Neodiprion lecontei: one gene and its partners. Each later gene encodes a partner of the first gene's protein in a complex. Links are inferred from orthologs where the notes say so. Each region holds a gene or a part of one and is shown on either strand. Other genes may lie near its edges.

Region 1 (11,613 bases):
AGTAATTAATCGAAGATTTTTGCTCACCGATAAATATTTTTTTTTTATAAGCAATTTAAAACCGAAACTTTGGTCAAAAATCGATTTTTTTTTTGAAAAACCGCCATTTTGTCAAAAAAATTTATTTCGCTTATTCCTTCGATTGATTACTAGATTTAACATTACTTTAACGAAATCTGTTGGGTTTTTCAATTTCTGAGGATCCAGTTCAAAGATATAGTGATCACCGTAAAACGTCTTTTTTGAGCGCACTCTGATAACGATCGACCGCTCATCCGTCGTCTATAGCTTACACTTCTCGATTGATTGATCACACATATATCATATAACCGCTTAGGTGAAGGCCCCCCCCCCCTCCCTCTGCGGAACTACCTATTACTGAGTCCCGTAGTCACTGCTTTGGCAGCTTTTTGAAACTGTTACAACCTTTAAAAGTGAGAACAATCATAGAAAAAATCGCATGCCAAATCTAAGAGGTCAAGGGTAAAAGCCAGGTCGAATTAGCGTGGAATGCCCCATATACACTATTTATTTGTGGGTTAGTGAAATAAAATGATAATGTGATAAGTCGATTTTACATAAGATTTCACTGTTTCAATTTTACGTCTACTCGACCGTCAACAATCGGCTGTGAATGTAAATTGAAATTTACCGTTAGTCAAATTCTTCATGTTCTTAATTTGAGTAATGAAATTGGACGATTCTTTAGTAATCACTTTGCGAAGCAACTGCAGAAATTTATTTCATACGACGATGCAAACAAATTCAAATATTTTTGTCTGTCAAATGCAACGCAACTGCGCAGTTTTCTATCGTCAATAACATTCGCATGTCTCAGACGCAGTTTACAGAACGATTGCGGAGCAGAACTGACGTTGCGTACAACGTAGTGTGTCTACCTACTTATTAAACTCGCCTAGGTATGTAAAAGCGGTTGTGAAAGTTGAAAATTAAAGTACATTCCGTGACTGTGGAGTTGAAAAAATAACAGGTGTGTTGCGCTAGTTACGCGATTTGATTGAAAAAAAAAAACTGACATCGTATTTCGAAAATACCGCGTAAATTTTCATATTGTTATTTTTTATGACAATGCCGGTATAAGTTTTCACGAATAGTCAGTGATATATGAAATTCGGTAAGTACGCCGAATGACTCGACATTATTGTAAGTCAGGTTTATAAGCGCAACACTTCGCCGTCCGGTAAAAATTGAAAATTCTGATTACGCCTATGAAACAATTCATTATGCTTTTTGCTGCACTGAAATAGTGAATAAGTGAAAAACCCATTACTATACAAATATCTAGTCACGATAATTGAATACGCTTAACCCAGGTTGCGATAACAGTTAGCTGTATTGCTGTTATCGAAGAGAATCGCTGTTTATTTTAGATAACAATATCTAAGGGGAACCTGGTTTATATAAGTAAAAATTATATTACAGCTGTCTTCATATTGATAACCATGCGTCTCTCGAAACTATTAATCGTTGCTGTCGCGTTGGCGATTTCTATTCAACTGACCTCCGAGGTATGTATCAACTCACATATTGAAATACGAGCCATCTTTTGGTCGAACACTACGAGACTCTATTGCACTACCGCATGCCGCGTTCACTTCGAATTTACTTATCAATTGAAAAGAATATGATAACGCCAGATGCAATTCGTATATGAGATCGGCGTGACTTCACTTTACCGCGGTGCAATCGGGCCTGTATGTGAATTAAATAATTTATGTAACAAAACCGTTCAAAAACACTATTGAGAAAGAAATTTACTAGCTGGTAACTTAACGAATGTAGCATCCATAAGTAGTAGAATAATCTATCGATAATTCATGTTGAATCTATTATGTCGGTAATTTGAAAAAATACCAACTACATTCAATAATTAGTCATTTATCCATAATTTGATTATCGATCGTTCGCCTAATACCCTTCTATTCGTCATGTACAGGTTTTGGCCGCAGACACAACTTCTTACATAGGTGCAGTTGTCGAATACTACCCGGTTACAAATGGAACAAACGGGACGACAATCGCTAACGCTAATGCTCAAAATTATGTTACAATTATTAAGAGAGCTGCAAATTACGTGAGTAGATTTAAATAAAAGAAAAACTTTTTGTCTCTCATCGAAAAATCAAATAGCAGTGGTAAAATTTCTAACGTTCTTCGAGTTCAGAATTCTTTGTAAAAGAGTATATTTCTATAACGCTTGAAAAATATGTTTACCCAAATGAATTCCTTATATTCATTGAATTCTTTCAGAGCACGGACATCGTCGTATTTCCAGAAAGCTCTTTGACAATGGGACTCAATTCCTCCGACACGGACAGAACTTTATATCCTTCACACAGCTCTTTTGTACCAGACCCAGGAACAGACATACCCTGTGATAATTCGTCGACTGTCGTAATGGAGGTTTGTAAAGAGAACGATTGGATTCATCGGCAATACAAAGAATGTCAGACATCTTTAAACATACTACAATACAGGTGTTAGTCAGTATACCTAATGTCGGAATTTTCTTCCTAGGCTTTACGTTTGATCTCATGCGCTGCCAAGAATAACTCAATTTACGTCGTGGTGAACTTGAGCGAGAAAGAGAACTGCACCACGACAGGAACGTCGTCTCGTCCCTGTCCCAGCGACGGTTACTTCTACTACAACACAAACGTAGCGTTTGACCGAACAGGAGCAATCGTATCAAGATACAGAAAGTACAACCTCTTCGGCGAGCTGGGATTCAACATAACTTCGACCCCAGACATCGCGACATTTACCACGGATTTCAACGTTACATTTGGACAAATAATCTGTTTCGACATCCTCTTCAGAACGCCAACTCTGACTCTGATCAACGACTATAACGTCACCGACATCATTTTCTCGGTACACTGGTTCTCCGAGATGCCGTATCTGACCGCCATTCAGACCCAAACGGCCTGGTCCTACACGAACAACGTCAACCTTCTGGCGTCAGGGTTCAACATGCCAGCTACCGGCAGTGGAGGCAGTGGAATATACGCTGGAACCAACGGAAAATTGGTCGCCCTTTTCTCGGAGAGTGCGAAGAACGCTCTTTTGGTGGCAAGAGTACCAAAGGTGATCGACGGGGCCCGAAACAACGTCACCTCCACGACCTATCCGCTGATCTACGAGTTCAGTAACACCGAAATCACGACTCTGGTCGGTATAACGACGGTCCCTCAGCAAGCGGTGATCCAGGATATTCTGACGGCTTACACGACGAGCGTTTTGTCCTTGAGCAACGGCACGACCGCCAGTTGGCTCGAAATATGCGATCGGCAGCTTTGCTGTTCCTTTTACGTCAACGGGACGTTCGATGCGGAGAGCGTCAATTCGAGTGCAAATTATTACAGATACCGCATCGCAGTATTCAACGGTGTGAGAACACATTCGGGCGTGGCTACCACCGGTGTGCAAATCTGCAGTATTATTTCTTGTAGAAATGATACGGCGAGCAGCTGCGGGCTGAGATTTGCCGCTACGGACACCGTCTTGCAGCCGACTGTCTTTAACGAAATCGTCGTATCCGGTAATTTTTCTACCACCTCAGACACGATGCAGATGCCAGACTCATTGACCACGGATATGCTTCCATTAAACATCAGCGATTTCACCTACAGGAAAACTACCGTATCTGGTTCTACTTTAGCGAATGTCACCCACGTTTTGACCACTAAAACAAGCAGTTTGTTAACTTTTGCTATTTATGGTAGAAATTTCTCGGCCGATGGCCTGGCATTCACCGAAAGCGTTGTATCATCCGCGATTCCATTCTCACGCTTTTCAGTGGTCCTGACTACGGTTTTTGCAGTCTTAATTACCTTGCACATTTTAACTAAGTATTGAGAAGAGTAACTTTTTGTATCCGGAAAGTTGCGACGGGTATTATGTATGTAAATAATTACCTCGCAGAAATATCCAATAATATTAAGTATATATGTATATTTTTAATATGCATAGCGTGTATGATAAGTTCGTGACTTATGATCTAATCAAAATTAAAGATAGTTTGTACTATTTCACTGTTTTTACCTTATGTCTCTATATGCTTCACGTATAAAAAAAAATTCTATCATCGTCTGTCTGCTAGTTAATGATGTCACTAAATGACTCAGTTACTGAAATTACTTGACTACAATAAGATAGATTCTATGCGATAGAAGATTCAATGGAAAATTCGCAACTCGCGAGACAAAGAGCAATTACCGTTGGAGCCGTATATTCCATATTTTATTTTAAGATATTACATAAGCTTACTATGTAACTAGTAATTACGACCTGTATTTGTTAATCATGCAATGAATTTAGTGATTTAAATGTCTATTTCGATAAAAGTCTATGGCTAGCTCAATAGCAAAGTTTCCTTTCAAACACCTCGCCTCGCATTCTGTTACCCCCTTCGAGTCGAGAAATACTGTGAACCAGATAAAATTTCCTTATAACTATATGCAGTTCATATTTAAGTGTTAAATATATCACTTCCAACTGTTCAACTCTGCGTCAATAAATCACACTCTGCGCAAGTACAATATTTTATTTCACCTTGTTAAGATAATTCACTATTTTTTACGAACACTATCTAACATTAATTGTCACTGAACTCATTGCTGAGGTCAGACATCAGATAACGGAGAATAGGCAAGCCTGGCCATTTCGTGTACATATTTGTTTTGCCACATCCAGCAAAGTTATCTTAGATGACGATATAAGAATTCAGTAAAAATCGGAAAAGTATAAAATGATCTGTGGACGAGAACGTGGATAAAGTTGAGCCCTACAGAATCAATCCTGAGAAATCTATTTTTGAACGATTCTTGTCACAATTTATCGTCTTATTGACATTGAACCTAAATTCCAAATTGTAAATCATATTTTGCAAATTTTTTCTTGGTCTTCCAATTCTCTGATAAGCCAGATAAAAATACCTTCAATGATTTTCGTCATGATGAATAGTACGAGTAGCAAGAATGTAAAAATTGAGTTGACTGACCTAGCGGTGGCAATAACTTTCCCCCTCGGTTAAACTTGCGTATCCTGAATCGATATCTCATCTATTCAATATCTTGGGACTTTGAACTCTGGCACTGCTTCCGATCCTCCTGTTGGTTTTCTCTTATTCATGATGTTCTGTATTTTCTGCCATTCTCTGTCCAACTCTGCTTTCTCATTCTTCTCCTTATTATACTTCCTAGTTCTTCTTCCATCTGCCATTTTTACTCCATACTGGAAGGCAGCCTTGGGCAAAGCCTCCTTGTTGTTCATGTACTCGCTGTATTCCTCGGGAGTGTCAAAATCCCACCGTCCAATTGGCCCTTTCTTGTTTCCCAGGTCCATTTTAGTGTAGTCCACTTCGTCGTCGGAATCGTCAATAGCATCCTGCATCTCGTCAAGTCCTGGATAACACTCGGCATAGCCTTCAGGTTCGGCAGCAAGTTTATTCAACAGCATACCCTTCTTAGGTGCATTTTCAATGCTCTGTGCTATTACTGGCGGTAGCTGTGGAGCGTTAGCTGCATCGTCTGTCGACGTCTCAACTGGTTTGTCAAAATATGAACCCTTTTTCTTGTCCTTTGAATGAACAGCCTCCTTTCTGCTTGACGAAGGAACGTAGTCGCCGATATCTCCATAAATGCTGTCGTCTTGAGGCCTCTGTGCTGTATCAATTTCGTTGAGTTCCTCTACACGTGATTTGCCTTCACGGTTCTTCTTTCCTTTCTTATTATGTCGACTGCCCTGACGCAAGTAGGACAAAATCTGGGCTAGTTTATTTATGACAATATCGTTGGTCGTCAAAGTTGGCGTTGTGTCTATCGTCGGGACGTCGGCCTTGCTCCTGATCAGCGTCGTTGGTATGTCACCATCCGCATTTTCATCATCTAGCTCAATGACGTATGCCATTCGACCAGGGCAATACAATTCGTTGCGTTCAACATGTTTGGATCGCATAATAGCCAATGTTTTGTGTATATTACGTCCTATCTTTGTCTTGAATTGCATTTCCTCCTCTTTTTTTTCCACCTCTTTCTTGTCCTTCTCTTTATCTTTCTTTGGCTTCACCAGCTTTTCCATTTCAATTTCCTGCTCTTGTTCCTTGGCCTCTATCTCACTCCTTACCTTCTGCAGCAACGCGTAATCCAACCCTTTCACCAAATGAGTGTGCTCCATATCTCCACCCAAGAACTTCGACTGTTGTATCATCTGCCTCCTTCTTTCTGCTGCATCCATACCAGATTTAACATCTGGCGCTACGGCTCGGTAGGCACTCGCTGTATTCATTGGATCTTCGGACTGATAATCAGCATTAGTTCCATCTCGTCTCTCCCTCGCTCTGTCTCTGTACTTCTCAGCTAGTTCTGCCATTTTATCCTCCTCCTGTTTCTTAAGCTTGGCATAAAAACTCTTCTTTTTTCGCCTCAACTCTGCTCGACTTCCTCCCGCTATTACGGGAGTTTGTGCCGTCTTAGCTGCGGTGTCTCGCATTGTTCCAGGAACCGACGCCGGAGTTGACGACGGCACCGAAGCCCTCGGCGTCATTAAGAGACGCCTAAAATCATCATTGGTCAATCTCACCGAAAGCCCCATATCCTCCTCCATTGTGTCCGGCATTTTTGTCAATAGAAATGCGCAGGAAATAGATTATTCTTGAGTTAGATACTCGCCAGCAGCTCCGCTTGGTAGTCTACTCATCAGCAACTGTAATAAATGATTGAACCCCATTAACGCAGTCAAAAATTTTTAAAACCACTTTTGATAATTTAATTAATGATCATCAGCAAAACAATCTATCTAGTAGTTTGTTGTTGACTTTGAGGTTAATTATATAATTCGATTTTACAAAATTACCTGCATTTGCTAGCAACTGAAAATACAAGAGAGCAAATGTTCGCACAACTGCAAATTGTAAAATTTACTGATGCAAATTGCTATTGATACGTAACAAATATGTAAGTCAATTTATCAGTGCATTTACATACGCCCTTACGTCTCACAAGCAGCCGGAGTAACAAACAATCGACTTATTCCTCTCGTTTTAAGGTTATGTCGGTCGCTGTTCTGACACGTACGCCTCTGTGCAACGTATACGATTTGAAATTAATGAGTAACAGATTTTATAACCTGTAGGATTCACTGGTCCAAATTTTTTCACACCAAAATAATAAACGCTTCGATGATTTCGAATACAGTTCAACGTTTGCGAAGTTCAAGTGCACGGACTCAAACGAAACCGTGTCGCGTAACTGGCGCCATGACACTTTAGCCCAACCTAACTTCACACCCGTCAAACGTCAAACTCGCAATTTTATCATCCCTATTGAGAAGGAATTTGTAGCGTCACTCATTTTAATTATTGAATGAGATATTCTCGTCCATCGCGGACACCTGCAACGCGTTGTGAGTATGAGAGAAGACATTAAACGATATTCAGTAACAGCTTACAAATTCATTCTTCTTATACATACGCTTCCAACCCATTTGTAAAGTCACATGACTGATTGTAAATTTTCTGTATATACTTTACCTAGCGTACTGCCTGTTCATTCTAGGCAGTAAACGGTGCTGAAAACAATTCATTATTGGTTTGCTTGGCTTCAATTGATATATTTATATTTCCTTACAGCTGACATATCGACAACAACATGAACGTCGATTAAAATACATACTGATCAAAAAAGCCAAGATGATTTCAGCTTGCCACAGAGATTCTTACGATTACGAAAGCTTGTCTTCTAATGAATAGATTGAGGATGATTCGAAAGGGAATAGTGTCCACAAATCTGAACAAGATCCTTTTCGTCGTGAATCCATGCGTTACATCACGAGTACAGAGGGAGAACACGTCTGTTCTATGTGCAACAACATGTTCGAGAATGAAAAAGAACTTGCTGATTATGAGTTGCCATCAGATGGTTCAATGTACGGAAATTCAACAGATAACGAAGAACAGACGAAAGTCAATCAACATGGAAAGAGCAAGGTTTTGACTGTCGATTTGATCAGACCGTTCAAATGTGATTTATGTGATTTGGTATTTGACAGAATGTCACAGTTGGACAAACACAAAAGAAATGTGCATAGCCAGGAAAGATCTCAAGTATGTCAGATATGTGGAAAAGGATTTTTCAGGTCAACAGATTTGAAAACCCACTTAAACATTCATTTAGGTACTAATAGATGCATTTGCGAAGTTTGCGGAAGAGAATTCAATCATGTTTCCAATTTAATTAGGCATGGCAGAACTCACTCAGGTAAAAACGGAACTTTATCTCACTTTAGACTTTTTTTCACAACTGGATTGAGAAACTATCGCAGTAAAAGGCTAAGACGTCGTTTTGCTTCTTTTTGGATACTTTTACTATTTTTTATCGCAATGTTGCGTCAAACTGAAAAGACCGTTTTTGGCGCAGTTTATATGAAAAGAAAACATTTTAATTAACATGATACTCCTGCTAAACATGACAGGGTTCTAAAACAATTGACATAAATATATGTAAAATTAAATAATAATTAGAACCAATGGATTATAGGAGTGAAGCCGTACCCGTGCACCATTTGTGGCAAGCGATTTACACAGATCAATACATTAACCAGACACAAAGCTATTCACAAAAGAGGAGATGACAGTATGGACTGTTGTTTTTGTGACAAACAGTATAAAACTAGAAATGGTCTTAAACTACACATGAAGAAATCGCACGGAGTAAGTATCGCCCTGCTTCACAATTTAGAATCATGCACACGCTGCAACTATTTCTTAGATCAATATGCCAAATTATTAATCATACGTCTTATTAAGCGCAAATATGAATGAAAAATTTTTTTATTTACAGTTTACTGGAAGTTGTCAGCAGGATCATGGAAAAATTGTTAAACGCAAACATTACTGTACAATTTGTGGGGACAGTTTTCAATTCGTTGAGCTATTAAAAGTTCACGAGAGTATGCATCAAGGCATAAATATATTGGAGTGCAAAAGTTGTAATCAGGTGAGAGAATTTGCAATTCTACACGGCTTGTTTCTTTGGCCAATTTTGGATACTTAATTCTTTCTGTCATTTGCAATGTGTCTTTGAAATATCGACAAAAATCATTATGTAAACATTTTTTCGTATTAACTACTTCTCAGTCCCAATTCAATATATATATATTTATATTTTAGGTATTTCAAAAGATGGACGAAATCAAAGAACACAGATGTGATAAACCAAAATTATCTGGTGCAAATGAAATGATATCTGAGAAAATTGTGTCTGATAAAGAATTCTCTGAGAAGGCCAGAAACCAAGAAAAAATTATATCAAATTTATCTACAGAGGAACAAAGTTTTGTTACAAAACTTGAGGTTGTTGACCAAGGTTCGAGAGATTCTTGTTCGGAAAGAATTCCTAGAGCCAAGGGTATCTCGAAAATGAATACGATACAGAATTCAAGTAACCATGAACCTGATTACAAATTCAAACCGACTATTCTTACATGTCCCAGCAACCGGGAAGAGGATAAGCGAACTAAAGAAACAATCGTTTATGTTACTACTGAACAGGTATAAACATATACGTAATTACAATTACTTTTGTTACACTATATTTTGCTATCTTACTTACATTAAACCTTAACAAACTCATATCAAATCTAATTGTTTACAGCTGGCAAACATGAATACGGAACAAGTAGTAGATACAGCAAACCATTTTTTGCATGAACACTTGATGCAACTAGCGGCCGAAAGTGCTTTGCAAACTGATAATATAAGATCTCGAGACTGTGACAATGAAGCCGCTGTATCTGAGATGATAAGTAATTGTTGGAAAGAAATTGAGATACCTGATGTGAATGAACCTGAACTAGCCGAAAAGCAAGATGCGTCATCAAAAAATACTACCCAAAATATAATTTATGTACACACGTTAAAAAAGGACGGTCTAGCATTTTTGAATAAAAGTGGAGATCTCGGGAATATTGGTACTGAAATAATGCCAGAAAAATTACAAAATATTAAACATGACTTAGAGGCGATCGAAAATTCTACTTTGCATGCCGAGCTTCAAGAGACACATACTTTGAAGCTTAGAGAAAGTGAATGCGTACAGAAGCATCATCTGGTTGGAAATAAAAATTGTAGTAAAAAAATTTCTGGAGTTAAACGAAATCCAAATAAATTGTTAGATTCTGTGTTATTTGAAAATATAAATTTAAACTGTTCAGAACCAAGTCATAGACAAGAATTAGACACAAGTTCGGTTACAAAAGGAATGAAAGTACTAGAAATTCAAGACTCTGTGCTGTACTTGAATGAAGAAAACTCTGATAAAGGACAACGCGAAGATGGTAATTTACAAACCACTTTACATGCACAGAATATGTTTGAAGACTTATTCAAAAATCATATGGATAACGTTAATACGGTAATCACTAAATCCTCTGACAATCAAGAACCAACTTTGAGATTGGTGAAAACAGACAACGAAGAACAATTCTATGAGCTACTGATCACAAATTGCTCAGAAAATGTGGTAGAATCTTGCGAAATAGGAAAAATTTCAGAGGAGAGTATCCACGAAAATTCAAAAATAACACCAAACGAGCCTATATCAGATTCACTGTTGAAATTAGTCCAATTAGAGAATGGTCAACGTATCTTGGAGTTAACGGAAAACACGCTATCAGAGGGATCTGATATTCCCGAAATGATTGGAAAGCGGACAGGAACGGAGGATATTGAAGAGGAAGTACAAAATTTATCGAAAAATGTTAATCACGATAAAAGTGGCGAAAAAAGTTTTGTGCATAACAGGGGGGAGAAAATCTTTTACCTGGCACAAAGTAACAAAGATAATTTGATTGACTTTTTTGAAATAGAAACACTTGGGACGCAAGACCAGAACTGTGATTTTGTCTCGGACGAAACTATACAGAATCTATCAATACAAACAAATTTTGACGATTTGGGAACTCTGAACAAAAATGAAAATTTGGAAATTGAGAATCCGCCAATGGGTAATGAAAGTTGTGAAGAAATCTTTGGATTAATTCAGAATAATCTTCCGAAATACAATGAGAAAATTAAAAGCGAGTCCAAGAAAACTGTAAGGGAAGATGGACCCATGGTAAGACTTGTACAGAACGAAGATGGGGCGCAATTTTTCGAACTAATTCGAGGAGATTCAGAATTTGATGAAACGCAAGACTTTGAGTTGATTCAAACCTATGATACAGATGAAGGGCAAAGCACCCAATTTGTAAATAATATCAAACACGCTGAAAACGTGCATACAGAAACAAGTTACACGATGAATGGTACCGACGAGAAAAGTAAACTAGAATCTGAAGTATCTCAGAAGAAAAAGCCGAAAAGTAATGTGAAAAAGTATAACTGTGACGTTTGTAAAAAATCATTTTCAAAAGGTTACAATTACAGACAACACATAGGAACACATTTTGCTGATCAACAAAAATTCAAATGCAAGGAATGTGGGACATTATTTGCCTGGAAGTCTACTCTCAATAAACACATGGCTAGTCATAGAGCTGGAGGGCAACAGAAATTCGTCTGTGAAATTTGTCCAAAAGTCTACACAACTTTGT
Region 2 (9,708 bases), on another chromosome or scaffold:
CTGAGCTTAATAACGCGATGATTCGAAATCGAGCGAATGTTACGAGCGAAGACATGTGATGAGATTACGAATTTAAAAAAGATACGGTTTATATACCTAGATTGATCCCATATGAAATTACCAGGCCATTTTAATGAATCTTTGAAACGACTTTCGCCGTGACGGTCGGTGATTTACGAAAGTATAAAATCAATGCCAAAAAAACTCTTTTCGCATAGTTTATAGTATCTTATAAATAATATCGATCGGGATTTTTCGGCTATACCGTAAGATTAATAAATACTTGAATTTCACTTCGGTCTTAGATACATTGCAAATATAATTCTTTGCAGAAGTCCGACAGAATCTATCGGATATGTGATAGAAAAAAGTACAAGCTTTTCTAAACACGCTGCCTGCAGTAATATCAGTATGATGAGCGAGCCTGTGTTACGAAGAAAATGAAAAAAGGCGACAAGTTATGGAAAATATTGACTAGACTATGAGCAGACGCGCTTCCGACTAGAAACTAATAGGATTATCATGTTTCCTTGAGAAGTGCAGGTACAGACTGTACCCTGTTCTAGGATGCACATAATACTCATTCAGCGAACGAGAGACTTGACCGAAATATATAATATGGATATTGAACATCGTCTTCTAACGACTATGAATTTCTTTTTTTTAAACATATTTATTTTTTATTGTTTTTAAGTATACTCATATAGTTGAGAAATCAACGGGTCATCTTCGGGTATGTTGAGAGAGAAAGAGAGAGAGAGAGAGGCATTAGATATTAGTCTAGAATTCGGTTATATTCGTGTGAATGCCGTTCGATTTATAGACGGTAAATTATACGTCGTAAAAAAGGCTTTTTCCTAATAGCCTGCATTCGGTGAATACGAGGCTTGCGGTATTAATATTTCATTTTTTTTATCCCCAAACGCTAATTAACCTTTCGTTTAAAGCTTGGAATGAATTCGGTTACAATGAGCAACGTCAGATTGTACAGCGGCAGATGAGTTTTTAATTAGAAATAAATGCAAATTATCAAAACAACATCTCCCGGTTGTTCTACCGACAATCAGACGAACAGTCCTGCGGGGCATGGTGTTAGCCGAAAACTAATTGTCAGTCAACGTCAAGCTTACTCGTCATTGATGATAGATGCCACTACGTCATTATATCGATAGTTAGTTAAGCATTTCATTCTTTTTTCTATCCAAGAAGCGCGAATGCTCGGATCTACGCAGCTGATTATACGCTTGAAAAGTCATTGGCGGAACCGGTAACGGACGAAATTTTCCAATGAAAATAAAAGTGCAATGCCTGTGGCTCAGCGTGTGATTTTTTAAATCTTGACCAACGCGACTCTGGCTGTGGCGATAATTAGATTCGATGCCGAAAGAGTTTTCACTTCATCTTCAATCCGGAATCAGAGACTTTATTTTGGACCTTGTACAACTGCTAGAAGCTCTACCGATTTTTGCAAGTCTGCGCACATTGCAGGCGATCAATTTCGATCTAATACGTCCGTGGTACAATATATGCTACATTAAATTGTAATATATACTCACTCGCTTTCGAAGTATTCGATTCCGCGATGGGCTGGAGGGTCGATGTCCTTGGCATGTTCTTCTCGTTCGGTGGGTCGTCAAGGTTGTCGAAGCAATTACGGACGGAAAAGTCAGTTGATATGGGATTAACACGATAGAGAACTCGCGCGACGTCTTTCATTCACAAGTTTCAGATACAGTAATGAAATACAACAGCTTTGTCGTTGCGAGTATACACATCTGTTCCTCAATCAAAGAGCACGCAACACATACATATATACACTGACAGCGTGTTATTGTAATACGAGGAAACAAGCGAGCGCTGCGAATATGACTCGTCTCACGCACGGATACGCGCAACTTCACACTGGATTAATCCTCGGCTAACGTTTTAAAAAAAATCGGCGAAGAATCACCCCAAATTACGCCGAAATATCCAATGTGATGTTTCTCACTCACCGAACCTCTGAGGCGACGATAAATACCGCTCACACCACCCAATTGTTATTGTTGACGCTCAATTATTATCGGCAAAATGTTCGATCAACCGTGTTCCGTGTTTCCTATCGCATGCCATCGTCTTTTGTTCTCACCCTTCGCGAGGACAGTTTCGATATGATTGCAGATGTGTTTTCGACGATGTTAACCACTTGCTCCTTTCCCGAACGAATATGCTGTCGCGTCGCCCAAACGGTTTGTCGACGATTCAGAACACCTGCGCACGGCGGATCCTAACCGACTGACGATGAGCTGGGATCTAAGATCGCAGGCCCTCGGTGAACCTGCTTCACAGGTCACGTCGAATAGAAGAACACGGGCGACGACGTCGTCGGGACGAAGGAGGCAGCAGACGCGAGAGAAACGGCTCTGCGAGCTGTCTGAACTTGGCTAGACGACGATCTTAGTCCCGCTTCGCGAGCGTACATTCCGCAACTAGATGCGATATATCCTCAACTCTCACCCTCTCCTATCTCCCGCGCACACACACCGAAGCGCAAACACTTTCGTTTCATCACGATAATTCCGATTTTAACTGCCGTATTAATACAACTTCGCCACTTCGCGTGCAAAGTAGGTAATAATCGAGAGATTTTTCTCCTGTACGCGACTAGAGAGGAAAAAGTCTGGCTTCCAGTATCGGACTCTACGGAGTAACAATCGCGAAGCGTGTACCATGCTGCAATTGTTTTTTCGTCCACGAAAATATGTATTGCTACGCCGTCTACCTGCACCTTCGCGAACGTTTACGTAAAAGTAGGGCGAATTCGAATTTCGAAACAAGAGCGATTCTTTTTTTTAATAAAATATCAGATACTGATGAGCAGTTTTTACTGCCACACTATTTCGATAGATGAATATCGGTAACTAGGACGTCCAGATTTTGAATTACTCACATAGTTAAACTTACATATCGAATTCAAAGCCAACTTCGCGTTGCTTAGGTTAATAGCTGAAAGCTCTTCAGGAACTGATTTCATAATGAATCATGGATCTAAATTGCGGTCAAAACTTCAACTGACGATATCTATGTATCTAGTAAGTAATTATAATATGTCAACCAGTTAGGCATATGAGTCGCGGGGTAGTAAAGCAACGATATTTCAAAAAGTGAGATATATCTCTAAAAGATCAAGCTAACGGTTGTCGCTGACTAAACTCACCTAATAGTACACCCATTAACATTTTTATTTCTATATATACCATTACTTATTGATACCAATACATACCACGCGAGGCATATCTCGCATGCCGTATATATATATGTGTGTGTGTGTGTGTGCGCGCGTGCATACACACATATCCGGGACCAAGATTCATTAATAAGTGCACAAATATGGAAATTTTATTTCGTCTTCGTAATTTCTAACGCCACATAAGTGTATATGAATTTAGAATATATATAAAATAAGTTCAAACGTCAATGAATTTTATTATTATCAATTGTGAATTAACATTGAAAGGACACCGACAAAATATTCCAACCAATTATTAACTGTGCATTGTAAAAGCCAATATGACTTAATTTTTTACATACGTGTTATGTCAACAGATATAAATCATCAAACAATACTGAATGGTACCGGTAACAAAACAGACGGAAAGTAATTAAGGATATTTTCGAAAAATGCCCAAGACATTCGAGAGTAAGAAAAAGACGACTGTATCATCAATTGTAAAAGACAATTTGAGTAAAAAGTTTGTTGGCAGCATCGATAGATGGGAAATGGGCAGTAACTATAAAGGCATAAACGAGAGTTTGCAAATGTACTGTGGGAAAGCCATGAAAAATTGCAGTCTGCCCGCTCACACTAGTTTTTTAGCATCAAATGGTGCAAATTCAAAGTCAACGTCATCGTCCTTAACTGCTCTGAAAAAGCAACAGTCGCAAAAAACTACTAGTAACGAAAATTCGATATGGTTATTTGCAAAGAACGAGAAAAGTAAGATCTACAACAAATCTGATTACAGTAATGCAATTTCAAGAATGTTTTCAGATGGCCTAAGTGACTCAGATGATTCTACACAAGAATTAAGCCATTTTACTGAGTTACCTAAACTCGGAAACTATTCATTACCTTCTCATGCGAAGGTCGCTCTGTCAGAATGTGCTAGTGATAATCAAACGAAAAAAGAAAATTTTGTACCAGCATTGATAGAACGTAAAATTGAACACGTGGAGAAAAATACAAGTAAAAACAAATTCATAGAAAATGAACCTGGTTTAATGCCAAGTCTGACTAATCATAAATCCACCTTTTATAAAAGTGCCAAAATAAATCAAAGTGAAGATGAGAATCTCAAACTTTGTGATTTATTCAAGAATATTGAGAAAAATTCTGTTACCAAATATGCAGAGGTGGATAATGTCAGATGTACAAGTTTTCACTTGTACAAGCCACCTAATGAATCGTTAAGCACTGACTCAGAACACATCGGGTCCCAGCTGTCTAACATCAGTTCTATTTCACTTACTTCTATTGAATTTGATATCAAATCATCTAAAAATTCCACAACGAGTTTTGAACAGGAGAGTCAGCCTTTCACGGAAGTTAAGGACTCTAGTTTTGAGATCACACAGGCCATGTATTTGCGATCACACAGAAAGCGTTCCTTGATTCGAAAGAAAGATGAAAATACAATGAAATTTTCATCCAGGATCTGCAACTCGGTTATAAAAGAGCAAAAATCAGAACTAGAAAACAGGTCACCTGTTAAGTTGAACTATACCTACAGTCCCAAGTACGAATCTAAAAATTTTGTCGGTGAAAAAAAACACCTAGGCAATTTTTACTTGCCGAAGCAACCTGCAATACTTGAAGATATTGCTGCATTCAGCTTAACAAAGCAACATCTTCAGCGACCCTATGTTTCTGATCAAAATCAGAATTTTACTGACACAGAAGTGATCAGAGCTTGTAACACATCTGAAGAAAAGTGTCAAGCATCTACAACGATTAACATACCTCAAAACAGTTTCCCAAAAATCCAGCATTTATCGATAGATCCATTTCCTGAAACAAGTGACTGTAACTCAAATATTTCAGACCACAGTACCAGCAGATTTTCTGCCACCAACAGTTTTTCAAGTGTTTCGAAAAATGTACAAGCATTTGTGAGAGAATGGTTAGATAATCAAGATAAAATAGATGCTACGACTGGCAACGACTATCTAGGTACCAATGAAATACCGCGAAAACGTAGACGTCATGATATAAACAGTGAAACATGGGTAGAAAAGACTTTAAGTCCAGAAAAAATGTTGTCCAATTATTCTTGCGAATATGACAAAGTTTATAAGGTGAAAGCTTTCCATCCCAATTAAAACTAATGTGGCAGTATGTTTGATATTCAATCAAAATCTTAATCTTTGTTTTTTCATATCCTCATTTGCTTTATAACAGGTTAACTTATTCATGTAAAATTATTATTCACTTACTTTCATTTTGTTAAATATCATTAATTTGTATTTATTCTATATTTTCACTGTACGGTATACTTTCTAGTGAAACACGTTTTATGAATTAATTTGTTACCGACAATGTTCACTGCAAATAAAATTATAATACGTACATTCGATAAATGTTGCTTCTTTCTCGCAGTTCATACTTCCGAAAATATACGACATGCAGTTATTCATATATCTGTTATTTAATTTTTTAATTAAGAAGAATACGAATAATTCACTTCATGAGAAATTATAGTTTATAATCAATGTAATTTACCTGGTCAAACAAACGCAGATTTTCATCCTATGAGCATCCAACAGAAACATGACAATTGAGTTATCACAATTGCACTTGAAGATGTCAAACTCATCTTAGTCGTCCGTGTACACTTTGGGAACATGTTCATTACACGCGCATCAAGTAGAGAATGAAACATATCAATTTCACTATTTTTATCTCACTTTTTTTTTGAGCCAAAGCCAGAAAATCCCATAACTGCAGCCATTTCATCAGAAGGTCCTGCGTCGTCCTCATTGGCCTCGTCTAACTTCCGCTTCCGATCTTTCCTCTTCTCTTTTCGATATTCCTTGATTTTTTCTTCCTGAGAACAAACATAATCGGTTATTGACCGATAACGACTTTTTCAAAACAATAATTACCTCTTCTTTCAATTCCTTTACTCTCTGTTCAAGGTCGTAATCTTTCTTTTTTTCTTCCAATTTCTTTTTGTTGTGAGCGAACCTCGCTTTAACTTGATCCAATGATGAGCGTTCAATTTTCATGGACATTCCCAAGTTACGTTGATCTGTAAGTGGGAGTTACATTATTAGTTACGCATGAAGGGAAATAAGATGGAATAATGGACATATGTTGATTAAAATGCAGGTCGACAAATTGAGAAGATCTTTTATCATAATAAATGAAAATTTGTAAACTTACGTTTCGTGCCATTAATGTGATCCAAAAAGTTGATGGAGTCTTTAACGACACAGTCGCAGACATTGCAATAATATCTATAGAAAGGAAAAAGCATGTTAAGAACTAAAAATATTTACTGTGATAAATCGCCAAAAGTTTTCAAATAGATTTGAAAAATTTACCCTCCAGTCTGCGATGATGGTGTATTTTTATTGATGACAACACTTTTTCCAAGTTTTGATTCAAGATCAACCTTGTAATCACGCTGTTTGAGCAGCTCTCTTTTAACCGCTGGCTGTTTAGGAATACCCAAGTCCTCTTCGGCAATCTCATCTTGAAGCCTTTGTAGCGCTATACGTTCATATTCCTCCCTATTCCACTTCCGACGATGATCGTCAGGACGCTGAAATAAAAAAATTATGGAATATTCCATGAAGCGATATACTACATCAAAATACAGTAAAGTTCACAATTTTAACAAACTATCATACCCTTCGTAGGTTGTTTGTCGAATTTTGAGGTTACGATCGTTCATTGTAAGAGAATACCATCAAAAATGTGTGTACGATTAATTTTCTGCGTTTTATTATTAAATATTTGTATTTTACTCACCGTAGAGGACATTGTGACGATAAGTGCTGAACGTTTATTACGCACGTAAATAATCCTGCAGCTAAGGCTCCTACCCAAACTTCTGTTCACTTCTGTTTGATGTTTCCTCACTTTCCACTAGTATAGCTAAAGCCAATTTAGTTGTAACGCCATCTACAGAACGAGAGATAAACTCATAACTGCGTTGATAAAAGAAAAACACCAAGTGATATACCCCCTTAGAGCACGAGGTATGTATCACGGAATTATTACCGACCACGGTCTTTTACCGACTGACACACAGGCAATTAATTTAAAAATGAAGTCAAAAATTTTTAAATTAACTAGGTCTATTTATTTTGTTAGATGAAAGTTCAAATAGCTTTGAAGAGATTCCAATTTTGTATTGTATATTTATTGTAGTAAATGGGCCGGTATTGATTCTGGAAAGGTTACGCCAACTCTAGTAACGATCATGCTTGCTACTTTACAGCCCAATTTCAAGCATGCCTTTGGACTACGTCCAACTAAAGCACCGAGCAGAAAACCAGCCACCAATGAGTCACCCGCACCTGTTGTATCCAGTACAGGGTTTTCAGGAATTTCGGGTAGAACCTGAAACGTTATCTAGATATTAAACTCAAGCTGTATTCATTTACCTGTAATTTCACTATTCTAAGATTGAAATTTATTACATCGCTATTGCAAATTCTTTCAGTTATCATTCAGGATTAAAATCCTCAATTTGTACCTGTGCAGATTCACCCTCTCCCCAAACGACGATGGCAGGAGATTTTCCACCTTGAGTCATCACAATGATACCCTCATCTGACAACCAGTTGCCATCATTCTTACTAGATGCACCAACTGTGACCCTTTTCAAATTGTTTAGAAGGAATGGGATCTCCTGAACATTGTTGAACTGGAGATTTAATACGCGAGCCAAAGCTGTCATCTCTCTGGCATTACCAAATACAATTCCGGACAAACCAACCATATCACAAATGGCAACTTGATGCTCCTAAAAGAATATAGAAGTTTGAATGTCTTGAGAATAGTACATACTATATTTTTTGTAATTTTATATCAGTACAAAACTCTTTACAACAAGTTCCAAGTTAATTTAGGCTTTGTCGAAAAGATTTCCAATGGAATAAAATGTATTGTTAGTAGGTTAGCAACAAAATTAATAGAATTTTTCACATTATTCAAGTATAGAAACGTAACCTGGAAGATATATTCGCCACTGATATTGAATGCTACAGTAATACCCTTATCTCGAGCCAATTTCACCAACTCCAAAGCAACGTCAAAACTATGCGTTATAAAGAATCCTTCGATATAAATTATTTTCAGTGAATTTAACGGCAAATCATGCTGCGCCAGATTATCCAAAGTATACACACTAGCAGCACCTAAATTTGCTACGAGGCTCCGCCATGGTCTCTTTACCATTGATACGCAAACACCAGTTGGTAGATCAGGGTGAATTGCATAGCTAGGAGGAAATTAAGAATCAGGCATTAGAACCTTAGTATAAATCAGACTGTTAGATGTATTCTGCAATTCATAAATTTAAGTCTGGTCGTATGCCATAGATAAACAAAATACCGAGCATCAATTCCTATTGCTCGAACCATGTCTTGGAGTATTTTCCCCCGAGAATCATTTCCAAGTCCTCCACAGAACAATCCCAGTTGCGGTCCACTCTGTCCACCACACAACCATTGAATAACTCTGATTGTATTCTGAGCACAGCCTCCAGGACTGATATTTTGCTCTGATCTGTAATTTAATAATTAAATACTGAATATTCGAAGAGTTATTTCTATGTGGTTATTTCACGTAAATGATTTGAATGTTAGACATTACATCGAACAATTGAAAAATAGTTCAATTCGTACTCATTTCACTGTTTTGATCTTGAAAACTAAAAGAGCACGAGTATTCATTCTACTAGGGTGAAAGATATGTGAGTAATGAAAATGAAAGAAATTGAGTGCAGATGCTGTATGTGTCTGTTTCTTTTCCATTTATTTCGTATTGAGATAGTCATTAACTCTGAAGGAAGTTCATTGATAAGTTGTTGTATTTTGTCTGCGGGTAGTTCTTCCTCTCCGTCGACTTTTAGGCTATATTTATTCAACATATCATCGCTGTTCAATGTTACAAATATGTCCAACAACGGATTGCCGAAGCCTGCGATAGCCGGGGTTTTCAAAGATCGAATGGCCTCGGCCAGTAATCGTTCGTCACTCATTTGTAATAATTTACAGTAAATCAACGGGTACACTGCAAGCAGGACACGTAATGCGATTAGGATTGCTTGGGTGAGGTTAGGTCGAATGATACTTTAACAGATTCAGCAGTCAGTTTAGCCCAACCTAACCTCTAGCTGTACCCTAGCTTTACCTAAACTGACGTGACTGTGTGTGCAAATAGAAATGATATTCCTGGTTTCCTGCGATAACCGTACGATGATATTTGACGTTTGTACCGACCATTCGTCAGTTCCTGTATGTTGCTCAAGCGGCTGCTTTCAGGATAACAAATAGAGTATTAATCACCGATCGTGAAAGAAAATAATCGGAAGAAAACAGAAGAATGAATGAGAGTGATCGTTGTGAACGAGTAGGGGACAAACAAGAATCGAGGATGATATGAATGACGACGATTAAAATATTCTCAACAGAAGAAACAATCATGGCGGATTCGTA
Region 3 (11,076 bases), on another chromosome or scaffold:
ACTCATTTTGAGTTGCATGGCCAGTGTTTCAAGAAAACAGCAAAATTTTACCATTTTTTCATTTTCCTCAAAAACTGCTATCGATAGGTGAAAAAGATTTGACCAAATTAAGAAACAATATATTATTTCACCAAAATTCCCCAGATGCCGTCGATAAGTAGCATTTCTTTTTTCCAAATCGGTTAATCCGATTTCGTTCCCGACATATGAGGACATAATTCGTTGTTGAATTTTCCGCTCTACGCGACGGTCAAGTTATTTTCCATCTATCGATAGCAGTTTTTGAAGAAAACGTAAAAAACGTCGAATTCTGCCGTTTCTTCCAAACGCCGGCTATGCAGCACAAGAATGACTTGAAATTTGACCCCCTGAGGGTTGGAAACTCCTACACACAAAAATGCAGCTATATCCCGAATGCTTCGATTGCTTAGGCACCGAAGGGGGGGGGGGGGGGGGGGGAGAGGTGGAGTTCGACTGAGTCTTGTCTCAAAGGAGATACGCGTACCGATGCGTACTACGAAGAGGTAAGAAGAGGGAGAGATATTTAGCCGTCTCAGCTTCTTCGCTTCTGCTCGCTCTGTACTCCGATTCGACTGAACTCGGCCCGCAGTTTTGATAACAAAATATGAATAGCATTGCTGTAATTTGGAGAGGTGTATGTATCTGTAAGATTACTGATAGAAAAAAAATTTAAACCGGTTTTTAACAGGTATCTGGAAAACGTTCGGACAGATTTTGTTTAAACCCTGCAGCCGATTTGAAAATTAGATAGAAATTTTACATAAATGCATTTTTTTTTTTTGCAGGTGCTATCAGAACCTCAATTGTTAAGCAACTGAAATTTTGAGATTCTTCGACAAAACGCCTTAGCAGTAACCTTTCGTGGCTACAGATAGGCGATAAAATATCTCGTTGGCACATTTGAAGAGGTGATTTGGAAAATGTTATAATATATATTTAAAAAGTGTCTGTATTGTGAAAATTATTCTGCAATTTTTTCTTAATTGTTCCTTGAATATCAAATCGCACAAATGTCATCATTCAAGACCCCCACCGCTGCGGTTTGCAGGGACGAATTCAGACGAACCATATATATAGTATATATATAGGAAAAGTCTTACGGAGTATTTTCTCACGCTAATAACGAACTGATCTCGAGATTTGTAGCAATAAATCGTAACTCTACAAAATAATAGAGGTCCCTGACAACGGTGCAAGTACAACACGGTGCTAGCTGAACAGAAAATGAGATTTTCAAATCTACAGCAGGTATTATTACGCATATCATTATACTCAGGTATGTATAAAGGTATGACTGATATTCTCTCATCGTCAACAGTCATAATAACTAACAATGAGTTATTATATATAGAACGGATTGTCATTCGGATTGTGGTAGCGGTCACCACGCCGAAACTCTCACCCCGCCCCCCCCCCTTTCGCTACGGCAACCGGCGGCGCATCCTCAAGGTCTAAAATGGGAATGCCAACTACATATTTACAAACATCCGCATGTCAATCGGACGGAGAATAATATACCGAGAGATTATGTTGAAAAGGGATGATCTGTACATTACGTTGGCCATACTTGGCTGCCCCGAGTCGCGCTTACACTGCTACCAACATGGAAATTGCTAACAATAAATTCCTAAGGTTCCGGTCGTAATAGAAAATAAAGTATAATATGTTGGAAATTAATATGGGGATCAAATGTTAGATCCGAAAGAATAAGAAGATGAACGTTAACACCGATATTTGTGGAATGACACTGAGAATGTGAAATTCAGCATTTTCGTTGGTAGAAGAATCGTTATGAAAGTAGCGAATCGGCAACGTTGGCACACAACATGATCACACGTGAGAATTTGTGGGAAGTGGACGAATTGATTCTATTCTTGATATAAATCTCTTCTTGATTGTTACGAAACAAGGAATTCTATTGATTAGCTAAGAAAACCGTACGTACAAGATCTTTAAAAATCAGGTTGAAGTTCGTCACGTGATAGCAATGTAGTATGAAAAACAATCGAGCTGAAGGTATGCTGTAGTCTGTCTTTACCGATCCTGTTAATTTATTACTTATTTTAGCGGCAATCAGAACCATGTGTCGTTGAAGCGAAAAATTCGCATATAGCGCAATTCTAAACATAAATATGCAAAAACAGTTTTTGTTCTACGCAACAATAATAAGTCTACCAGAAACTGTATTCTTCGAAAATGCAATTTATGCTAATGACTTGCAGGCATAACACGCTTTGCAAACAGTTTGCTATATCATTTTTCAGTCTTAATATGTGAGAGCAACTAATTTGATCTTAATTGACAAGAATGATCTATAAATACCAGCATTCACTAGGGAATTTTCCACAAAAGGTTGGCTGCCTAGCTAAATTCATTCATACTGCCAACCGAAATAAACGTGCGTCTTCAAAATAATCTCGTGTAAAAAACATGGAATTCGTGGAGATGTCTCATCTTTGACGCCATTCATCGTTTTTAATGTGCGGTCAATTGATATTGTCACTATTAACAATCCACAGGGGAGAGCAGGATGAAAAATTACTCACATTCGAAGTTGGAAATGACACCTAACCAAGCCGAAAAATTTGCGTTCCTGGATTTTTGTTGTTGTATACAATGATGTTATTTACCTTCCCTCCTTGTGTGTTGATTTTGTTTTTTTTATCCAAATCCAGACTGGAACAGGGCACTCTACATCGATCCCAATGTCATCACCTGACGCACTTACAAAAGTAATTACACACACTATTTCTCACAATGATACCACACGTTAATGAAAAACCTATTTGGACTTAAATTTTTCCTAAGTTTGATTTCGAATTAAATTCTCAGTCTCTTGTTCTGTATACAGCCTTGCTTCTTTTCCCTTTTTTTCCTACCTTTCTAGTTTTCACGTCGTCGCGACTGTTGACACAGTTTTAAACAAGGCAGATTAGAAAAACGAGGGAGAAAAAGCGAAGAAGAAACACAAGAGAAAGAGAGAAAAACAAAATATATGTTTATTGCAGGTACATACGTATTTATTTGAAATTTTGGCACACACAATATTTAGCAGGAAATCAGGTAAACCTGTGCGGCAGAACGCGTGCGCGCGTCACAATAATTTTAAATAACGAAACACGTTCGATCGAAGACAACTCTAATTGTAAATTATTCGTAACAACTGGATCGTTGCGCGAACCACGCACAGTTTTCGAGTTCGTGCGATGCTTCCTTACGCTGCGTTAGCGCGGCTTCGATGGACCTTTTGCCTTTCGGCTTTACGCTTGCTACCTCTTCTCGGACTGGTGCTACTAGTCGTCGTCGTCGTCGTCTTCCATTCCGACCCATTCCAAACCCTCTCCTCTCCGCTCAGCTCCGCCCCCTCATCCCGCCGCACCGCCGGCAGCCCTTCCCTTCCCTTCGACGGCTAGTTTCTCACGACGTAACTGAACGACTTCCCCTACCCGCTATAATATCTTGTCAGCCGCCGAGCCTCATCGTCAGAAACTTTCGCTCGCCCCCTTTCCACTACTATCAAACCGCTGAGTAACGAAAAACGATCGTGGTTCGGGAGGCTGTGAGAACTACCCGCACTATCTTTGGATTAATTCTCGAACTTGATCCGTACCAATTGATAAGTTCGAACACTCCTCGAACGCTGTTTGCAACTACATTATTTTTATTCTTCGACAGCTTAGACGCTTCAATGCCTCCGCTGCTTCGCTAACTGAGCACATGTCTGTTGGTAGTCGCTGAATTTCTTGTGTTCAATAGAGCCATAGAAGATTTGTTTACTTCGATGTTTCTCACACAATTTGTGTCAAAATGAGCCTTCTAATATGTATTCGAATTCTCGAAACGTGTCCGATGCGTTGGATGTTTGATAACACTGAATTTTATTCATTGCTGATTCAAATGATTTATCAAATATCAGTCGATGGTGCATTAGAAATGTTGATCAGATGAATTGCTTACCTACAATAGTCGATTGATCAGCGAATTATCTCCTCTGTCGGTAACAATGGTAACGGCACAACTGATATTGGACTGGGCACGTTGCTGGGTGTATTTGATGCGATTCCAAACATATCCTATGAGCACTGAACATTCCCTGCAAGTGAAACAGAATTCACTAATTATAAAAAACATTAGTGCAAAAGAGATAGAAAAATCTGCCAGTGCTGTCAACATCAAAACCAACCACCAGCGATGAGATCTGGATATCACAAGGTTACCAACCAAACAGCTGAACCAAATGACAAGGCTGGTAAAATGGCGTTTTGTTGTTGAAGCTGGTTGAAGCAGAGATGAGTAGGGAGTGAAGTCAAGTCCATGTTATTGACTCGCACGCCGTGAGCTGCTGTGAATTGCGATCATACGACAGCATTTGTAGATGACCGGTTAAACAAACAATTTCTATACAATGATGGATTATTTTGTGACTAATAACTCGTTGGCACCAGCACCCATGGGTATACAAAGTACCGCGGGTGCAGTGCCAGTTAAAAATGACAAAGGTGAGCTGATTTATTATGTGAGACACCTGTTTACTGTACTCCCAATAAGTTGCATACGTTTTAAAGCTTACTTTATTATGAAATTTAGGCATAAAGTTTTGTACAATTGAAGATATGCATTCAATTTTCGTTCAATATTTTCAGGCGAATTGTCGATGAAAAAGGTTAAGGTCCATCGTTATGTGTCCGGCAAACGTCCCGATTATGCGCCTATGGCGAGTTCGGATGAAGAGTCCGAGGATGAAGATTTCATGGAAAAGCGAACACTCAAACCTCTCGAGGAATCAGAGACTGTAACTGATATCCCTGTTCCGTCACACGGTAAACTGAGGGACGAGGATGATCCTAGGCTGAGGCGTTTAACTAGAATCGAGAAGCACAAGGAGGTCGATACAGAAATTCGTGTTGAAAGGCATCGGCACATTCACGAACCTGAGGTATTGGAGACTGAGCCTGAGCGAACGCGCGAAAGGATAAAATTGGAGAGCTCAGATTCCTCGGAGGATGAAGATTTGTCCGATTCTGAAATTGAAAGACGTCGAGACGCATTGAAACAGCGAGTTTTATCTAAGAAGGAAGCTGACCAGGAAATGTTTCATGAAGAAGATGAGGAGAAGCTCCGAACCAACAGCTCCGAAGATAGCTCAGAGTATGAAGAATACACCGATTCTGAGGAAGAAACTGGACCGAGATTGAAACCTGTTTTCGTCCGGAAAAAGGATAGGATCACTGTTATGGAAAAAGAGAAGGAAGCTATGAAACAAAAGCAGGCCGAAATAGAAGCCAAGAAAATGGCAGAGGAAAGAAAAAGGCAGACATTGAGGGTAATCCTTTTGGAAACTGATATTCATTCAATCTTGAATCCTTTCTAAACATGTTTTCACCCCTTATCAAGGTATTAAGGAAAGAGAAACTTTATATGTTGCGATTTCTTTCTTGTTCACTAACGACAAGCTTCACTTACCAACTTTTCGTCCAAGTAGACATTAAACAATCGAGCTAAACTAGACTACACACTTTGAAAATTGTGAATCTTTCGGCTGATGTTGATTTTGGTTATTTTTAGATGGTAGAAGACGCTATACGAAAAGAAACCCAAACTGGCAAGACTATAGTAGATCAGGAAGGAAACATAAATGATGTTTGCACCGACGATGAGAACGACGAAGTGGAATATGAGGCATGGAAACTACGCGAGTTGAAGAGAATAAAACGAGACAGAGAGGAACGAGAACAGTACGTAAACTCAAGAATATTTTCCACTCAAATCATTCTTTTAAAGATATCTTTGGGAATTCGTTTAATTTGAAACTGAAAAAACCATACTGCTAAAAATTTCGAACAAACGGAACATAAAAATGCCTGGGTTTTCAAAAAAGTCTAACTACCAATAAGGTTGAATTTAGTAACATTAACGCGTCGAAATATTGATAAAGAAGTACTATTTTGTAATGTTTAGATGACTAAAGAAGTTTTCGTGAAATACAAGAATGTTTCACCTCATTACGGTTCACTGAATTTTTGACAGTCCCAAAGTTGGGATATTTTTCCTAAATATGCATCGCGACATTATTGTTACAAATTTCAGTCTCATGACTACCACTGTAATCCAACTCAACCCTATATTTTTCTATCCAACAGATTGGAAAAGGAACGGTTAGAGATAGAGCGACTTCGCAATATGACAGAAGAAGAGCGTCGTCAGGAACTGCGTCTAAACCCAAAATTGGTAACGAACAAAGCAGCGAAAGGAAAGTACAAGTTTTTGCAGAAGTACTACCATCGCGGTGCATTCTATTTGGACAAAGACGATACAATTTTCAAACGAGATTTCTCTGGTGCAACGTTGGAAGATCATTTCGACAAAACTATATTGCCGAAAGTAATGCAAGTGAAAAACTTTGGGCGTAGCGGTAGAACCAAGTACACACATTTGGTAGATCAAGACACAACGCAGTTTGATTCACCATGGATTTCTGAGACCGCTCAAAACTTAAAATTCCACAATAACCAAGCTGCTGGAATGAAACAAGTTTTCGATAAACCATCGCTAAAAAAACGAGGCAATGAAAATTGATATGGTGCAGGATGAATTGTGTCTTTACAATGTTGGGAAATGAGACTAGGACCATTTACAAATGTTCAGTTTCACTTTACCTGTTGCGGACAATTCCGTTTGGGTCTTTAAAATTGAGGAACCCACTACGGGAAGGAAGAAATTACTTATTCATAACTCGGGTTATTTTTGTATAACTGATATCAATTTTACTCTTTAATTCATTCAATACAAAAATTTGACAATAATATATTTCTGGTTCACATTTAAAGCCCCAGTCATTCATCATAATTCTGGGTGAAAGATAAGTGTGGTAAAAAGGCGTTGAATAAATTTATAGGCATTTTCATTTTGAAGTAAAAATTACCCACAAAATAACTTTCACCTCGAAAATTATGAGCCAATGAAATTGTGATTTCAAATCATCGGTGACTAACAACTAGTCTGCATGTGTACATACAAAAGCCGATCGTTACTCTGGATATAGACGTAATTCAATACTGGAATGCCTACAATGTAATCGTAGGAAATAAATATCTGTGTTAGGCTAATAGAATGAATAGATAACTAACCAACTTCATTAATATCTTGAAGATGTATGATTTTTACAGTTTAAATTTTTTTAAGTTACTTCAACTGTACAGTTGAAAACAATAAAAAAACTATTTTGTTCCACAGAAGTTTCAGTTGTTATTACACAAAGATTCAACAAGCAAACATACATGTTTGAATTTTTTCGATTTGGAGTTCTTGTTTCCAATAATTTGTAGGTTTGATATCGATGGAAGATCGACATAACAACTTACATCAGTTTTTTTTGAAACTATAGTTGAAAGTAAAAAAAACCTGTCTTACTTATCTAAATACATGATTTTGAAACGTACATTTGTTTATTTAGTTTGTGCAAACATAAAGCTGTTTAGAAATAAATTCAAACAATTAATTGAAAAAATCTGAAAATAAATCTATTTTTGAATTTGAAGTACGAAACTCTCTATGTAATTGAAATTTAAATATACCGGGACAATCTCTTGAAACTATACATATAATGCGCATGCGCGAGTTTTATCGGCTGCTCGGGCAGGTTGGCCACTCCGAGTTTCAGCTGTCAAACTCTGTTTCTGGCGGTGTTGTAGTTCATACGAATTTTTGAGGTTAGAATCTCAAACAGTCGAGGTAATGACTCGGAAAGTTGATGATAATGCTCTTTGAAAATTGGCTTTATTCGACTAAAATGAGAAATCTGTTTAAATGTTGGGTGCTTGGAAGAAACGCAGCAGGTAGGTGCGAACACTTTATTTAATCATTTTTATTATTTCGTACATTAGAAATAACAGTGGAATTTTTATCTATCAACAGGTGATACGACTAAAATAATTACATCTCTGATATTCACTGTTATCTGCCAATTCAATTTGTCAGACGTACAAAGATCATCGCCACTTTCAAGCAACTAAGCAACTTTCTCACTCTTTTGTGATTTCAGGCGGTAATATTGAATTTTATCACTTTCGAAAATGAGACATTAAACCGAGCGTTCAAGAAATTTAAATATCTCACTATCTGTAACGGAACTGTGAATCTTTTTTTTCTTGAAAATAGTTCAACAAAATTTACGAATAGTCGATAGTCAATGTATTTTTTCCGATTAACAAATTATTGCTACTACTATTTAAAATTTCCGAATGATTATCAGAATTTATTTCGCAAATTTTCAATGATGTTCGATCAAATAAATGAAGGGAACCTAATACTCAAATTGAAAATTCAAGTAATATTAGATTTATTAAAATGATTTCTGTATTTCATGTAAGTGCGGTTCGCAACAAAGAAAATCTAATCGAAAGCGTAGAACTCAGGAACGTAAATCACATCCTGTGACACAAGTTGAAAATCAAGTTTCTCAGAATGCGCCTTAATGTTACAATTAGCTTCAAGGACAATCATGTTTTAGAGTAATGTCAATTTTAAAGTAATGTAAAGATTGTGTCCCTTGTTCCATCAAAATAAATGAATATCTAATTTTTAACGAAGTTTATGAAGATTTTTTTCCAAATAATGTAATCCGATACAATATCTTGTTCATAGTCCTCCGAACATCACCTTCTAACAAGGATATTTGGAAAGAGTCCCTTTGTTGCAGAAACCATTATAAAATTCTTGGTTTTCAATTCGTGCTACTGAATAACTCTGTGTTTCAGGTTCCATTTTCAATCTCAAAATGGGATTTTTTTTGCTCCAGATAATGCTAACATGAAATGCAGAAATAATTGCGGTACATGGAGATTCACAAGCTTTCAGTCTTAGCGTAGGACCCTATAAAGAGTGCAAAATTGAATTTGGTTTCAAGTGATCGTGCAACTAGCTAGCCAGATGACACCGTCTACTAAGATTAATTTAAAGACATTTTTAATTGAACTTATTTAACAGTTCTAGATTCAGATTGATTCAGTTTGCCTAGCAAAATTCAACCCTACAATCTAATTGAGGACTTGAAAAACTATTTATCTGAATTCAATGCCAAAGAGAGTAAAAGTAAGCTTCAAAATAAGATACCAAATCAAATGGTATAAAGTTTGAAAAACAATGCTGGTCAATAATAATGCTTGAATTACAATGGTGCACAGAATGATTCCTCGGTAGAATGAATTGGCAGCAACGGTTAAGTAACAAACTTGTCGCTATTGGCTCGATCAAAGTAAAATGATGGGATAGTCAGCCATTATGATCTGTAGTATATCCCGCTCTTCAATTTTGCCTCAAGTGATGTTAAGAAGGTGGCGATGGCCTGATAAAATTCACTCTGGCACCTGATGTCTGACGAAACAACCAGGTTCGATGGTTCTAATGATTGCACCGCTCGAGAAACCAGGATCCTTGCCACCTAAACGTTTTGACCATCAGGTAAGGCATAATTTTCCTCGTGTTAATTAAAGTTTAAACTTCGAGCCTGCTGAAAAAAAAACCAATTTTATCATTGAATCCATGTTAAAATATTGTCATTGTCAAAGATCACGTAATTGGAAATTTACTTACATGCTTCCGTGCCTGACAAATTTAGTCCCGCTTTGACAATGAATTATTTCGTACCTGAAAATATTAGAAGCTATTATTATCAAACAGGATCTTTCGGTATTTTTGAAGGCAAAAGAAACGGCAGCACTTTTTGAAAGGCCACCAATGGCCAGACGAGGGGTGATCAGAAGAGTGGAGATTGGTCTTCCAGTGTTATCGGACGATTGTCTTGTAAGTTATTGTTTGTTTCCTAATTTTTCATTAATAGCATGATTTACACTGTAATATTAACTGTTGTTCTTTTTCTCTTTTTATTCTTGGATTCTGGTGAACCCTCTTTGTTAACGGAACATTGATTGTTGTACAATGGAGCTGCAAAAACTTTGTCAACTAATCAATGATGTCGGCGAGGTTTTTTGTGAGTATTGCGTCGGGTACGTTTTCTGTTAATTGCTACTCTTTGTCCTCCTAAGCTTCGTGTTTAAGATGAATAATTTCTTTATTCCTTGTTACTCATCTCTTTTATTTGTTTCATGTTCATCGGCACTGATTACTGACTTCTGGAGCACTGCACCGTAACGAATCTACTCTGGAAATACCTTCTACTGGGTCTCAACCATTCATTTATTTTTAATTTTATGTAAACAAAGAATCTGTTCACAATAAACATTGTTTTTACTTACCTACCTCTGTTTGTCCAGATTCCGACTTGTTAATGACATTTCACGTTGAATATTAGATTTCTTCTTTCAATAAATAACACCCAATTTCTGTATCATTTGATATTTGCTTTTCCGTTAAATTCTTTATTGCGTCGGTTGAATATCTTCCGAAATCAACCACGGTATTGCTGAACGATACTATTCTTCTTAGACAATTCACGCTACGTAAAAATAAACAGCAGCATAACCTCAATCCACGGCTTTACGCGCGAGAGAATTACAGCTTTTGTTTCATTTAGTGTACGTTGGCGCCTTGCTCAGCAGATGAAAACATCACCGCGGCGCGATTTCACCGACCAATGAGATTAAATTATTTGGCGCATGCGCGTTATATGTATAGTTTCAAGAGATTGTCCCGGTATAAAACGATCATTATAAAGCTAAATAAATCTAATAAAATTTGAATTCTCAATAGCACTCATGCCTGTAGTATACTATAAAACCAAATGTTAAGCATAGTCGCATAGTAACCTTGAAACGGCTTGCACTGTGACATGTTGTAAGAAAAATTCTAAAAACTTATGGGTTCGTTAAGCTATAAATTCAAGCGGGTATCGTCGAGCTGAATACAAATAACAAAAGTTCGAACAAAAAACATTATCCTCACACAATACCCATTTAGTATCAAAAAAATTCTGTATATAATACGTGAAAAATTGCACAATTTAATAGGTCATGCTTTGCATTTTTATTTATTGCGATTGATTCTCTAATTGCGTAGTAATTTGTAGGTTTGATATCGATGGAAGATCGACATAACAAC

The links.
Region 2: protein Red (region 1) and zinc finger matrin-type protein 2 share a complex: the UniProt entries of both Homo sapiens proteins name them as parts of the spliceosome B complex. The link is inferred for Neodiprion lecontei from reciprocal best matches to the Homo sapiens genes IK and ZMAT2.
Region 3: protein Red (region 1) and microfibrillar-associated protein 1 share a complex: the UniProt entries of both Homo sapiens proteins name them as parts of the spliceosome B complex. The link is inferred for Neodiprion lecontei from reciprocal best matches to the Homo sapiens genes IK and MFAP1.

Annotation. Positions count from the first base shown.
Region 1 is NC_060262.1:33,327,639-33,339,251, reverse strand, and holds protein Red, read right to left. Parts: upstream 7,298-11,613; 5' UTR 7,016-7,297; exon of another isoform or gene 7,008-7,015; intron 6,925-7,007; 5' UTR 6,877-6,924; intron 6,727-6,876; 5' UTR 6,640-6,726; coding exon 5,089-6,639; 3' UTR 3,880-5,088; downstream 1-3,879. Other genes in the region: uncharacterized protein LOC107219612, read left to right, coding at 1,444-1,529, 1,958-2,046; vanin-like protein 1, read left to right, coding at 2,311-2,424, 2,539-3,879; uncharacterized protein LOC107219618, read left to right, coding at 7,838-8,279, 8,559-8,731, 8,862-9,017, 9,191-9,571, 9,675-11,613. UniProt on the Homo sapiens protein: Involved in pre-mRNA splicing as a component of the spliceosome. Auxiliary spliceosomal protein that regulates selection of alternative splice sites in a small set of target pre-mRNA species. Required for normal mitotic cell cycle progression.
Region 2 is NC_060265.1:7,533,979-7,543,686, reverse strand, and holds zinc finger matrin-type protein 2, read right to left. Parts: upstream 7,153-9,708; 5' UTR 7,025-7,152; coding exon 7,013-7,024; intron 6,804-7,012; coding exon 6,583-6,803; intron 6,496-6,582; coding exon 6,422-6,495; intron 6,288-6,421; coding exon 6,142-6,287; intron 6,084-6,141; coding exon 5,940-6,083; 3' UTR 5,294-5,939; downstream 1-5,293. Other genes in the region: adenosine kinase, read right to left, coding at 7,406-7,618, 7,743-8,012, 8,219-8,489, 8,603-8,776, 9,052-9,251. UniProt on the Homo sapiens protein: Involved in pre-mRNA splicing as a component of the spliceosome.
Region 3 is NC_060266.1:18,253,798-18,264,873, forward strand, and holds microfibrillar-associated protein 1, read left to right. Parts: upstream 1-4,254; 5' UTR 4,255-4,426; coding exon 4,427-4,520; intron 4,521-4,664; coding exon 4,665-5,344; intron 5,345-5,586; coding exon 5,587-5,756; intron 5,757-6,161; coding exon 6,162-6,597; 3' UTR 6,598-7,253; downstream 7,254-11,076. UniProt on the Homo sapiens protein: Involved in pre-mRNA splicing as a component of the spliceosome.